2 linked regions of the Neodiprion lecontei genome follow. The protein of the gene in region 2 interacts with the protein of the main gene of each other region in a pairwise test. Links are inferred from orthologs where the notes say so. Each region holds a gene or a part of one and is shown on either strand. Other genes may lie near its edges. The genes, in order: immunoglobulin-binding protein 1b and serine/threonine-protein phosphatase 4 catalytic subunit.

Evidence for each region.
Region 1: the proteins of serine/threonine-protein phosphatase 4 catalytic subunit (region 2) and immunoglobulin-binding protein 1b interact in binary tests that used the Caenorhabditis elegans proteins (3 or more experiments, as listed by UniProt). The link is inferred for Neodiprion lecontei from reciprocal best matches to the Caenorhabditis elegans genes pph-4.1 and ppfr-4.

The regions. Positions count from the first base shown.
Region 1 is NC_060262.1:173,739-178,594, forward strand, and holds immunoglobulin-binding protein 1b, read right to left. Parts: upstream 2,760-4,856; 5' UTR 2,639-2,759; intron 2,609-2,638; 5' UTR 2,595-2,608; coding exon 2,406-2,594; intron 2,309-2,405; coding exon 1,976-2,308; intron 1,907-1,975; coding exon 1,509-1,906; intron 1,407-1,508; coding exon 1,190-1,406; 3' UTR 644-1,189; downstream 1-643. Other genes in the region: EF-hand calcium-binding domain-containing protein 1-like, read left to right, coding at 37-117, 198-308, 401-589; single-pass membrane and coiled-coil domain-containing protein 4 homolog, read right to left, coding at 3,554-3,733; uncharacterized protein LOC124293234, read right to left, coding at 4,829-4,856. UniProt on the Caenorhabditis elegans protein: Probable regulatory subunit of serine/threonine-protein phosphatase PP4 which may play a role in meiosis and embryonic mitosis.
Region 2 is NC_060261.1:25,917,616-25,925,817, reverse strand, and holds serine/threonine-protein phosphatase 4 catalytic subunit, read left to right. Parts: upstream 1-1,951; 5' UTR 1,952-2,102; intron 2,103-2,709; 5' UTR 2,710-2,735; coding exon 2,736-2,885; intron 2,886-3,731; coding exon 3,732-3,884; intron 3,885-4,083; coding exon 4,084-4,335; intron 4,336-5,084; coding exon 5,085-5,323; intron 5,324-5,753; coding exon 5,754-5,883; 3' UTR 5,884-7,537; downstream 7,538-8,202. UniProt on the Caenorhabditis elegans protein: Protein phosphatase which plays an essential role in meiosis and in early embryonic mitosis.

The sequences.
Region 1 (4,856 bases), on a different chromosome or scaffold from region 2:
GTAGTGTATTCCTAATGGCAAGAAATCAAAATACAGATCACAATGGATTCGTGGAATTTGGGACTCTCAGAAGTTTTGCGAGGATCGCTGGATGAGAAAATAAAATTTGGATACAAGGTGAATCTAATTATGAATCTGTAATTAGATATTATTTAGTCGTCGCTTGTCATAATAGACCAGTTTTGCTTGGCTGTCAGGTTTACGACTTCATGAGGACGAAAAAGATACGAAAAGAGTCCATATTTCCGATGATGAGAGGCTGTTTGATCAAGCAACAAGCCGATGACGATCCAGACGAAGGAGTGAAGGTGATTTTTAAACGATACTTCAAATTCAATACTAGTTAACACTAGAGACAGAAAAAATTTACAATCTTGCCTCATTGTTCTATTAATGTTAGGACTTGATAGACCTGCTGCTGAAAAAAATTGATATCGATCGAGACGGCAAAGTATCGGAGGAAGATTATAATTCGACGATAAGAGGGAAAAATCTTCTCTTCTTACAATGCATGGGACCTGTGTTTCCTTCGCGAGAGTCAATATGCGCTTTTCTCACAACGTTCACTCCACGAACCGGTCGATACTAAGCAACAAGAACAAATCTAGTAACAGTAATGTTTCAAATATTTTCACCACACATATAATATCAAAGATCAGAAGGTATATTCTTAATGTACATACATCGATACACGTTATAAAAAATCATGATTGATTCAGACGATCTGCTACTGAAACACGATTTTTTCTCCTAGAAACATTTTAATTTCTCCATGTGTCAAACTTCCAACTAGTACGTATTTTGAACAAGAAAAAAAATCCCGTACGATCCAAGTAGTATTATACGTGATTCCAACAGTCTGATAATAAGTTAGATATCTTGAAAGCATCCAGAATTCAGCTATTAAGTACCTGAAAACAGTGATTGTCAAAACAAATGTTCCAGCAGTGAAAAATTGAAAAATATTATAAGCCACATACAAAATGTAATGCTCAAATTGAATCTACCTTACAGAACTGACAATTATTAACTTTTTCCCATATAAAGACGTGGTATTACGTTCTCCATTTTTTTTACCTCAAGTTAGTACCGTTGGAATTCTTTCCATATATATGGTTCAGTACTAAATAGAAAAGTCAATTCCGATGGACCACCTTGCATGAAATAAGAGTCTGAATATTTTATGGATTTAGCTTCTGTTGCTTCTGTTCCCCCAACCTCGTCTATGAGTATCTTTATATTCATCCATGGCACGAGCTTGGGCAAGAAGCTGCGGATCGTCTTTCTCGACTTGGTTTTCTTTTTGCTCCTCCTCAATATCTTCTTCCTTCAATTCATCCGTGTTGGGCGGAATATTCTGTAGGCACTTGCCACTCACTTGATTTCTCTGCGACGGATCTGGCCAGCTGAAAGCACCAAATATTGTGAGATTCAAGTCTTGAGATTGATGTTCTTAGGTTTTATCGTTCCTAAAATGAAGCAATTTATTTTAATATTGGACGACTTACTCGCCATCTCTGATTCTTTTTTCATAAAATTCTTGCACAGTCAGAACGGGTAGACTTGGATAGCCAGCTCCATAAACTTGTTTTTGTAGCTCATCTCTCGTAATAATGATCGGCTTCAGTTTAACTCCAGGCAATTTTGATTTTCTTGGGTTTTGAGCAGCCAAGGGATCACTGTGCCCAACTTTAATCATGTGCTCTATTATTGGCCTCTCCGAAGCTATTGAACTTAAATCATCCAACGCTTGGTTCACATACGACTTGATTAACGTAACGTAGTACTCTCTCTTCGATTCTTCATCTATATTTGGGTTGCGCATGTTCTCAGTTAATGTTTCCAGTCTGCTTTCCAGCTCTTTCTGCTCCTTGAACCTCTGCAGTTTTGTATTTCTTGTCGACACCTACAAACCAGGAAGGTTAGACGAGTCAAAACAATAGGCCCCTTGAGAAACTCCTCATTGATTACAAACCATGGACGTTATTAATTCGGCGTTGGACATTGGTTTCCTCACTGAATTTTCTTCGCTCGACTTTTTCTCAGGTAGTACAAAATCAATCAGTCCATAATGCTTTAGCCTATTCAGAAAATCGTTGTAATAGATCTCCGCTACGTCAACAATGTGCAATCGGTCGCTCGTTCCACAAATCTTTAGCGTCAGAGTTCCAAGCAGAGCTGGCAGCAGAAAGTATTTGATATTTGCCGTCGCCACTTCTTCGAAACTCTCATTGACACTAAACATATCCGTCATGGATACCAATCTGGTTGCATCTTCGAACATGCTCATCGCCCTCCTAACTTCACACTTTTTTTTCGAACAAAACAAACAACAATAACAAACATTAATAAATTTAAGACCGCATCTGCGTAGGTTATGAGAAACGCCGCGTAGGAAAACCTACTTGTATTTTGGGGCTATTTGTTGCCTCCTGGGATTTATTTATGCTGTTGAACAGGGCAAATCCTTCGTCGTAAATCTGAGACAAGCTTTCCGCATCTTTTTCTTCTCCATGAGGTAATTGCTTCAGGTTTTCCCTCGAAGCGTTTGACTTATTGGGATCCATTATTCGGGCAGTCGGCTGTACATACATATCAGAGATGAGTAGGTACATAGGTATACTAGGTCCATGGTACATGCATACATACGTTTGTTTACAATGTTTAGCCTCTATTCCGTGCGATCTCACCCACACCCCGTTCCAGCTAAACCTTCGATCAGATCTAATGATTTCGCAGATTTCGCATCACTAGACGAGAATTTTACGTCGAATTGCCGCACGGAGCGCGCCACTTGTCAGTCGACACGGAATTGCCGCTAAATTGCCGCATGCGCGCTTCTCTTCTCACGCGCGGCTTTCGTCTCTGAATTTAAATGGTCATCATTTCTCCATTCCGCATTCTTATAATTTATGAAAGGATCGGCCAGATAGAATTATATTTTTATACCATCATTTCTCCACTCATCGTGAACGTTACAACATTTTAACATAAGGTTTTATGTCCTTGTAAACGGATTTTTTTTACAATTCTCCGTTGAACGAAATCGAACAAAGATTCGGTACAAAATCGTTTTGTAAAGAACCGATTCAGTTGATACATTAAAAATTTTAATAAATCAAGTCGTAGGGAAATAATTTATTTGTATTTAAATCTTCATGCTTACAATTTAAATTGGACCCTGTAACCTTACGTATAAAATTTATAGTAAAATACTGTGCTGACGACGGTTCTTTTCATTTCACAATTCGATATCCGCTTAGGCCGAGAATATGTAAAGACAGAAGATCCAGGTAGTTGACTTGGAATTTCAATTTTATATTACTATCGTGCAGGTTATTAAAATCCACAAAACATCTTTTACAAACATCTGATATTTATCGATATTTCAGCATTCAAATACGTTCATGTTCTGAAATTATGTAAATAATGTATTCATTCGTTACACCGCATATCGTGTAACAAGATGCAGATTGATTATAATTGTATGTTCCTTTTAAAAAATCCTTAGAGCTATTTTAGATAATGTTATTATTCTGTAGATATCATAATTTTAATAGTCTACGGGCTTTGGACGTGTTTTCAGATACACATATACAACGATGAGTAGAAATATTGCAGCAAACGTCGGTAGAACAATGGTGAATAATCGTTGTTTGTTTTCAACGAATTCTTTCCTTCGCTCTTTCTTCTGCTTATTAGTTTCTTTAGTTTTTCCCTTTAGTTGCCGCATTTCTACCTGTAATTAAATGGAAAAATAAATAACAAAGGTCTACTGTTCAATTACAGACTAAACAGGAGTTAGTAAAACTTTCAACAAACATACTGTTCAATAATACTCTACACCATGCTGCTAATTGTAACGAAAGGTAAGGTATATTCCCTTACTTTGGTACAAGCTAATTAGTTACCGACTAATACTCATGTACTTAACATTGACCATTACTCCATGTCTATACAATCGTCAACTTGAAAAAAGTTTATTTACTCTTCTCTTACCGATAATCAGTTGGAATTGTCCAAAATATGTCAGCTAACCAGCGCGGCACGCATCCAACGTGTCTGACAGATATTTGACACGTATGGTATTCACACACGTATGTACAATTCCTGGTGGCATATGGAAAGCTAACGGTCATTGATTAGAGGTTACTAAGGACAGCTAACTGAATGAAGTCTGGAGCGAGTGATTCTACGACTTTCGATGTGTTAGCCGCCATCTCTTAGCCAGTATGGAGAGTTTGAATTTAAAATACAAACGCTGCGTACCGACCGAGTTCTCTGGAAATAACTTGGAATCTTGGACCATTCGATTTTCTCGAAAATCGTGTCGAAACAAATAATAAAAAATAGAGAGCAATTTATGAGTAATTTGGGAGGAGTTTGTTGGTGGCAAAATTTTCAAGAAATTCGAAGATCGCAGGCCAACATATAGATAATCAGCCTGATGATGACTGGCTGGGCTCAGTCGAAACGGTGCAGAATTGCAAGAAAATAATTTTGCAATTTGCCAGTCAATCACCTTCCCCGTCGATCGTCTTTCTTAAATAAAGATTTTTCATGCAAATAACTAAATGAAATGTGTGTTCATGCTAAAATTTTCGCCAGGTGTATTCTAGCGACATAATAATTCATGTTCAGCTCCAGAATCAAATCAAAACGTAAGAAATCTATGATGAAAATTCAAGTCGTGTCTGGTCTGAGATGGCATTTAAAACATGGACATGAGGAACGCAGCCACTGTTATTGGGGGATTGCTTAGAAAGAATGAACAAATATATTTCAAACGCAGAAAAAAGACAAGTCTTTTTATTGGATACGATGAAAGCTACATTTTAAGACGTAGGAACTTTGCG
Region 2 (8,202 bases):
CGCTTGGGGTTTAATCAAGCTTGGTGGTTTATTCGGTTAGGTCACCGCCTGAATTAATTCAAACGCAAGCGATACAAGAATTCCATAACTTGATAAGTAAATCATAAATTTCAATAATGACGGCTGAAAATAGGAAACGGAGATGATACTCTTTGCCTCTAGTCTCCATACATATATCATCCATAATAATTATATCATACTAATATTTATATTAACTACTTTCATTCATAACGATTCATTACTTGCAATAACAATAATAATATTATTGTTATTAGGTTGCATTGCGCACGCGTTGATTATCCATCCCTCGATCACAACGCCGACCTGGCGGCCACAAAGTGAGATAAATAACCGGCCGTGAAATCAACCACACCCACTACCTTCGTTGCCAGACCTGTATGTAAGACCGTGACTAAGGGCGTGTTCGGAAATTGACTAAAAGTACTGTCAGTATTGAAAATCGACAGTATACGTCACTTGGACTATACCATTTTCAGTACTGACAGTATTTTCAGTCAATTTCCGAACACGCCCTAAGTAGGCCTCTCCCTCACTAGCGCTAGCGGCGAAAATTCACAACATCGGCTTCGTTTTCGAGCACGGTTTTACAGCCGGAGTTCCCAGACCTGTCTATAAGACCGTGTTCACAAGAGAATAGTGTCGCAGTTCTCTTGTCAAATGAAATACTGTGTGCTGACTCCGTCGGTACTCTGATATGGAGACACGTATTGAACAGGCAACACGTCATACATGGTTGCAACAGCATTACCAACGAACCAGGGAGACTAGAGTGAAGGAATGGACACAGCATAGGAGAATAAGTAGTAACGGCGTCCTCAAAAACCCGTTCTTCAATTAGTTCTCCGCTCTGCCATTAGCATCACATAGGTCGAAAAGATCGTAAATATAGTAATAAAATTAGTCCACACCACGCTCTTACATACAGGTCCGCAAAACTAGTAGGGTGAGCTATGACTCAGATAATGAGGCAAAACCGTGGTTCTCGTCTTCGCCGTCTGCAGCGCTGCCCCCTCGGGGTGAGCCAATCATAAATCAGATCCGAACAGCCGATTTTTCGGAATCAACAATCCTGAATAACACTCAAAAATGAAGAAAGATGCGAATAAAAAATGATTGAGATGTTTACTAGCATTCCATGGCGGGCGTGATAATTGTTTTATTTTAACGGAATCCTCAAATGTTTAAGTCAATAAAATCCATAAACATCAAGCGAGGGCTCACAACTTTTGAGACAGTTTGAGATCTTGTGTAGATGATCCACCGTTTACACACTTTACACTGAGTTATGAACTGTCAAAAACTTCGATGAGCAGGTTATCTTATCGGTATATATCTATATCTATCATACCCCGGGCCAATGGCGCCCCTAGCGGATGGATAGAAAACAAGACCGTGTGCCTCACTAACGGTGACACCCCCTACCACTCAAAAGTGCCGGAGTTACCAGACCTGTACGTAAGACCGTGGCCCACACGATGAAAGTGACCGATCCGCGCTTGCGCAGTAGAATGAAAAGTGACGCACCTAAATGATAGTATATTAGAAGTTAAGGAGACTATTTCGAGAATTGTCAAAACTTTTTTTTCATAAATAACGGGACAAAATTGTCCTGAGCTTCTCTCGATTCATTACGCGAAAATGATAAATTACAGATTCCTAATGTTTCAGCTTATTTTTATTCAACGAAATTTGATACACCCATTTTAATAAACATAATAAATTAATTAACACTGCACATTAATAACAAAAAGCTTTACACATGTAAACATAAACACTGCACGAATTTTGCCACATTGAGGTTAGAAAATAAGTAGTAACAGTGTGTCTGATCTAAATATATATATATATGACTACGATCTTTTTGATCGCAGCGCCGCCGTTTTAGGCCGGGATTTCGTGTTCATTTCTGAAGCACGCTGTGTCCACTCCTTTACTCTAGTCTCCCTGCAACGAACGACGCGCGCACCACGCAATGCATTGTCGGAAATAAATGGAGACCGGCAGGAGATTACGGTGAGAAAAGCCAGCTTCTTCGAGTGATTAGAGTCTCGTCGAAAAATAATCCGTTCCTCATCTAGACGGTAAGGGAATTAGTATTTTACAGTCTGTCCATGAGCTGCATGCTTGGCACTTAGTGCTTTTATTTCTCCGTGTTTTGCTCCGATATTACACTAAACACGCAGGTTCTCGTATATCCATCGTAATTAGTAGATTTATAAACTATTTTCACTTAGAAACTCAGTTTTTTTTAACGAAATGCTCTTACCGTATCTTGGCTGCTATTTCACTCGTACTGTGAAACATCCTTCTATTTCATTATTTACCTAATCTTATTGCTGTTTCAAAAATCGCTCGATATCTTTACGCGACTTGTGTCCGTTCATATCTTCCTTGACTAACCTGCTTTTGCATTCGATGTAATCATAGTGCTTTACCTCAGGTCGTTTTCCGACCAAAAACCTCAATCTGCCTCACAATTTACCTAACCCAAACATATCTGCCTAAACTGGCCCGTCATGATTATTCAACAATTTAACTGAACTTGGAACACCGCGTTCAATATTTCAGGTTAGATTGCATCATTAGCTGCCTTTAGAGTATGCAAAGTTTGATCTTTTATAAACCAGAAATTTCAACAAAGTAAAAATGTCTATATAACATTTTATTTGTATTTTTATATGTTTACAGTTTAGGAGCAGTAAACTAACGGAGCAATGTCCGATTCCAGTGATTTGGATCGGCAAATTGAACAGCTGAAAAAATGCGAGATTATCAAAGAAGCCGAAGTTAAGGCTCTCTGTGCTAAAGCTAGGGAAATCCTGATCGAAGAAAGTAATGTGCAGCGAGTCGACTCACCCGTTACTGTAAGTTGGTCGTTGAACCCGTAAATGTGCCAATATTCGATTAATTCCAAAGTCACTATAAATGCGTGAAGTGTATCAGAAATCTGTTTGAAATTTCATTAATTTATTTTTTAAAGTGAAGACCACATTACTACAACAAGATTCTATTAGCCATACGATTCTCAAAATGTATTTCACCTAAATATTGATGGCAGAATTGAGAACACAATTGTAGGCTGCATATTGGTCCTCAAATTCTACACAGAACACTCAACGTTTCTTTTCTCTTCTGAGGAGTTAAGAACACTAATTTCACGGGTTCCCTTGCAGTAAATATAAAAATCCACTGTTTTCTCTTAAACCCAGCCAATATTAGCTGTTCGTTTGATGACTTAATTTTTTTCATTATACAATTGTTAACCTTTAAGGAAAAAATCGCCAGAAAATTCTAATATTTCATGAATTACAGTTACAAAATGGACATGTCATACACTTTGCAAGAGTTCGTAATTCCTATAATTGATATTAATCCTGATTTTCATAGAATTTGGCATGTACCTTCTTCTTATCATTTAAATTTTCCACATTTTGCAAAATTTTTTATCAATAGGCTGAAGAACATCAAAACGATTTTGCCTATTGAAAGTCAATCCTAGACTTTTCTGTAATTCCAACTCCTAAAAACCTATCGTTCTCCAGGATCTACTTCCCAGTCTAAAAATTGCTTCAAAAAAATGTCTCAGGCAGATTATTCACAAATTAACAAATTTTTTGTTGATGAATACAAAGTTTTACTTTTTCTTTTAATCTTTTGAATTGGTTAGCAATTCATTCCAACAAGATTAACCATAAATTTATATTTTTTAGGTTTGCGGTGATATACACGGACAATTTTATGATCTAAAAGAGTTGTTCAAAGTGGGTGGCGATGTTCCTGAAACGAACTACCTTTTCATGGGCGATTTTGTTGACAGGGGATTTTACAGTGTTGAAACATTCTTGCTTCTTCTTGCTTTAAAAGTACGATGGTATTCTTACAAGAAACTTCAGCTATATTGATTACACACTATACATTAAAAACTACTAAAAATAAGTATTAAATAAATGATATAATAAATATGTTAAGCGAAATATCAGAGTTAAAAATTTAACGAAAGTTATCCAGTGTACACAATTATGACTCTTTTTATTTTCAAATCGTGAATAACAATGTTTGCAGGTTCGCTATCCCGACAGAATAACCCTGATCCGTGGTAATCATGAATCGAGACAGATAACGCAGGTTTATGGTTTCTATGACGAATGCTTGCGCAAGTATGGAAGCATAACAGTGTGGCGATACTGCACAGAGATATTTGATTACCTGTCCCTGTCGGCGATAATCGATGGAAAGATATTCTGCGTTCACGGTGGTCTTTCACCTAGTATTCAAACACTGGACCAAATTAGAACAATAGATAGGAAACAAGAGGTATGTTGTTTAATACGGATTATGCTTTATCTAAAAATTAGCGTCAATGCAAATTCGACAATTAAGAAAATATAAAAGTTAAGGAAGATGGTTAACCACAAATCTACTTTTTCATCAATTTTATTACAAAATAATTATTTATTGAGCATTTATCAAATTACTATATTCAGAGCTAAGAAGAGCTCTTTGAAAAAACGAGAATAGAAAATACTGCAATCACCTATAAAGTACAGGTTACATATTGATGGTTTATTTCAATTAATTTGAAAATGGTTGAAAATCTAGTAGCTTCATTCAATTTCATTCCACAAAAGCTCATTTTATTCGGAAGACCATTTTCTACAAAGTCACTGAAATAAATTTTCTTTTTTCCTCATGTCGTTAAATTAGATATTCACGGATTGCGTCAGGTGAAAAAAATGTTTTAGTTAATTTGTAGGAATTAGTCTCCTGAATAAAATGAGCCATCATCGAGTGAAATCGAGCGAATCTACTAAGTTTTTAACCGATTTTGAAGTAACTCGAAACAACGCATCGATATTTAAGCTTTTGTTTATCATGTCAGTATTTTCTACTTTTGTATTTTTGAAGAGATTTTCTCACCATATGTATATAATATCTGCATAAATACTCTGAATACAATTATTTTGCAATAAAATTGATGAAAAGTATTCATTTATGGCTGACCAACTACCTTGAGATTTTGTCACCACCACGAATTCAATTCAATTCGTTCACAATAATTTCAGGTACCACACGACGGTCCAATGTGTGATTTGCTCTGGTCAGATCCTGAGGATACGCAAGGATGGGGCGTTTCTCCTCGAGGCGCTGGATATTTGTTTGGTAGCGACGTTGTTGCACAGTTCAACTCTGCTAATGACATAGACATGATTTGTCGAGCCCATCAATTAGTCATGGAAGGGTACAAGTGGCATTTTAATGAAACAGTCCTTACGGTTTGGTCAGCGCCAAACTATTGCTACAGGTAATTTTTCTTCTTATATAATTAACCATTGAGTCACTGTAATACCCTTCTATACAATTTAACAACAGTATTCAATCAAGAGTATCAAAATATTGGGAATGCGTTTTAAAAATATTTTCTCAGAGATAAATCTTATATTTCATAGAAGCTTCTGATGACAGGTATTTAATTTTTGTTGTCTGATATCACCTTACCACTTCAAACCTTTGACCTTACAATCAGCTTCATAGTCTACTACTTTGAAAATATCTGAAACGTAGCGTAATGCCAAAAGACACATTTCAATCATTTTCCTGATTGTCGAGATTTTATCGACACAAAAGTGCAACAGTAATACCACACTGGACCCGATACTCTAATAGACAGACAGATGGAATTTTTTTATTTCAATACTGATCAATTTTAAATGTTGCATTCTTACTTCATACAGATGTGGTAACGTAGCAGCGATATTAGAACTGAATGAACACCTCCAAAGAGATTTTACCATATTTGAAGCAGCACCGCAAGAGAGTCGAGGAATTCCGAGCAAGAAGCCTCAAGCTGATTACTTTCTGTGAGATTGACTTATTTGGCAAGCAACGTGCTGCACTGCAGTTAAACCTCGACTCGGAGTCAGTTCGTATCTTTACGTTCGCTGAAATTGTACTAATTTTGAATGCATCGGCTTAGTACGATGACACGGTCAAAGTTTAATTGTAAACAGCATCTAAGTGGAAGAAAAATAGTCTTAATTAAACCAATATGAAGTAACGTATTTCCGAGCAGATTTACCAATCTTGCGATTTCTAGTTCACCATGTTATTCCGCATTGGATTTCACCGTTTTAAACAAATCTTGGCATTTGTTGTATCAAATTTGTCCTGTCCGTAAAGGGTTTTTCCATTTTGTAGCCAAAATGTCGTTAAATCTTGCGAAAGGAAACGATTATACGTTTGTTTTCGGATCAATGAGCCTTAGTGCTTAAGTCAAAAGTCAGTCGAAGAGAAAAACTCGTTCAAAAAATCTGCAATATTGTTTGCACCAATGATAGCAAACGCAAATAAAACAACATCCCTACTACGTAATAGAAATGATTATTAGCAAATTCGGATCACACACACTAAAGTCGTCAATAAGGTTGATGAAGTGAAAAGGTTGCATAAATATAGTGTTTCAATCAATTTACTCTGATGTTTTTCATCGAATTCTAATGTGTTTGTGCTCATCATACTAGCTGTCCAAAATTCCACAAATTGTGTGAAAAACATTCCAGAAATTTCACATTCTAGTATACACTTACAATACACAAATGTAACTGTTGACGAACATCTGTTATATCGTACTTATATAAAAATACTTTTATTCACTCTGAGGATTACTTGAAGTAACATTTTTTCTAGGTTATTTAGAAGTCTCTATAATGAACAAATAATGCCATAAACATTAGAATCGGATTAAAAAAAACTCAGTTTTATGTTTTTTAACGTTCTAAGTATAAAACTTTATCTTGAATTGTTGATATCTTAGCTTATGTTATTCGGTTTGTTCACATTGATTTCCATTACACAGATATTAATGGTCTTTCATACGCGTTTACCACAATTGGTGCACATAACATTGTTGGATATTTTTGAATGGTTTCTTATCTTCTGCGAACGTTTAATGCAGTCTCTACGGCCCATTCATCTGCAAAAGCACATGTGCTTGTGAAGTTATTGTGAGTTTACAATTTACAGCGAGGGATGCTTTTGGCCCAAAATCTATGATTCAATGTCCATTGTTATAGGACTTGATATTGAATAATAAATGCATTATATTAAGAATATCTACGTGAAAATATATTGATTGTGAATTCGATCAGACAGGATCATGCTGTATCTAAATTTGAAGCATTTAAATGGAATGTTAATGTGATTTTAAACTTTCACTCTCCGCATTACACCCAATTTACGTAATCGGTCACAAAGTTTGTACAAATCCAATATATTCCGGAAGGTCTGTTCAAATGGGTGATTTTAAAATTGCGTTACATACATACATACATAAATACATACTTTTCGAATAACAGTCGTTATGAGATCAATGAACCAAACTTGAAAGTCTGCTTAGCGATAAAATTGATTGTAATGTCAATTCCCCAGTCACATGTCAACTGATATTTCTTTTCAATATTGACTTATCCGTCATTGTAATAATACGCCTACCACTTCATTTAATAAACAGTAAAAGTAATTATCACTTTTTACGTACTGTCAAAGGGTATATTATTATCTGATGCTTGCTAGAGCCTGTTTTTTAATTCGTAAAATAGAGCTAATCGCGTTCTAGGTAGTAACTATTTTTTACCGACTATTGTAGACTTATTTTAAACTAGTTTGTACGTAACAGTGGTACAATAAAATTAAGGAATAATTTTTACAATTACTTGGTTCTTTTCGTTGTGGTCATAATCCTACGATTATTATTAATGCTATTATTAATAATGTAAATATACGGACATTTGTACGTCTTTTTCTGTGAAAGTTATAATCTAATATTATTCTTTTGAGAAAATTCTTCTCAAATACGAATGAAAAAATTTGGACGAGGGATAAAAAAAAACTTGTCCAAAGATAAAGTGAAAATAAAATCATAATTGTTGTTTTCAATTATACAATGTGTCAAGTGGGTGGATGTTAATTATCTGCCAATAACTCTCGAGAAAAAAAATTGTGAGACAAGTAAAACATAAGAGAATTACTTAAATAAGTAATTGTATATTACTTTTTTTGACCGGGTAATTTTTTTATCGCCATCGCAGTGAGATCTGATAATCGAGAAGTGTGTGCAGGCCATACAAAAGTTACTCGGTCGGTAAGATTAAGTTTTAGATCTACGACGAAATTCCAGTAGCTAGC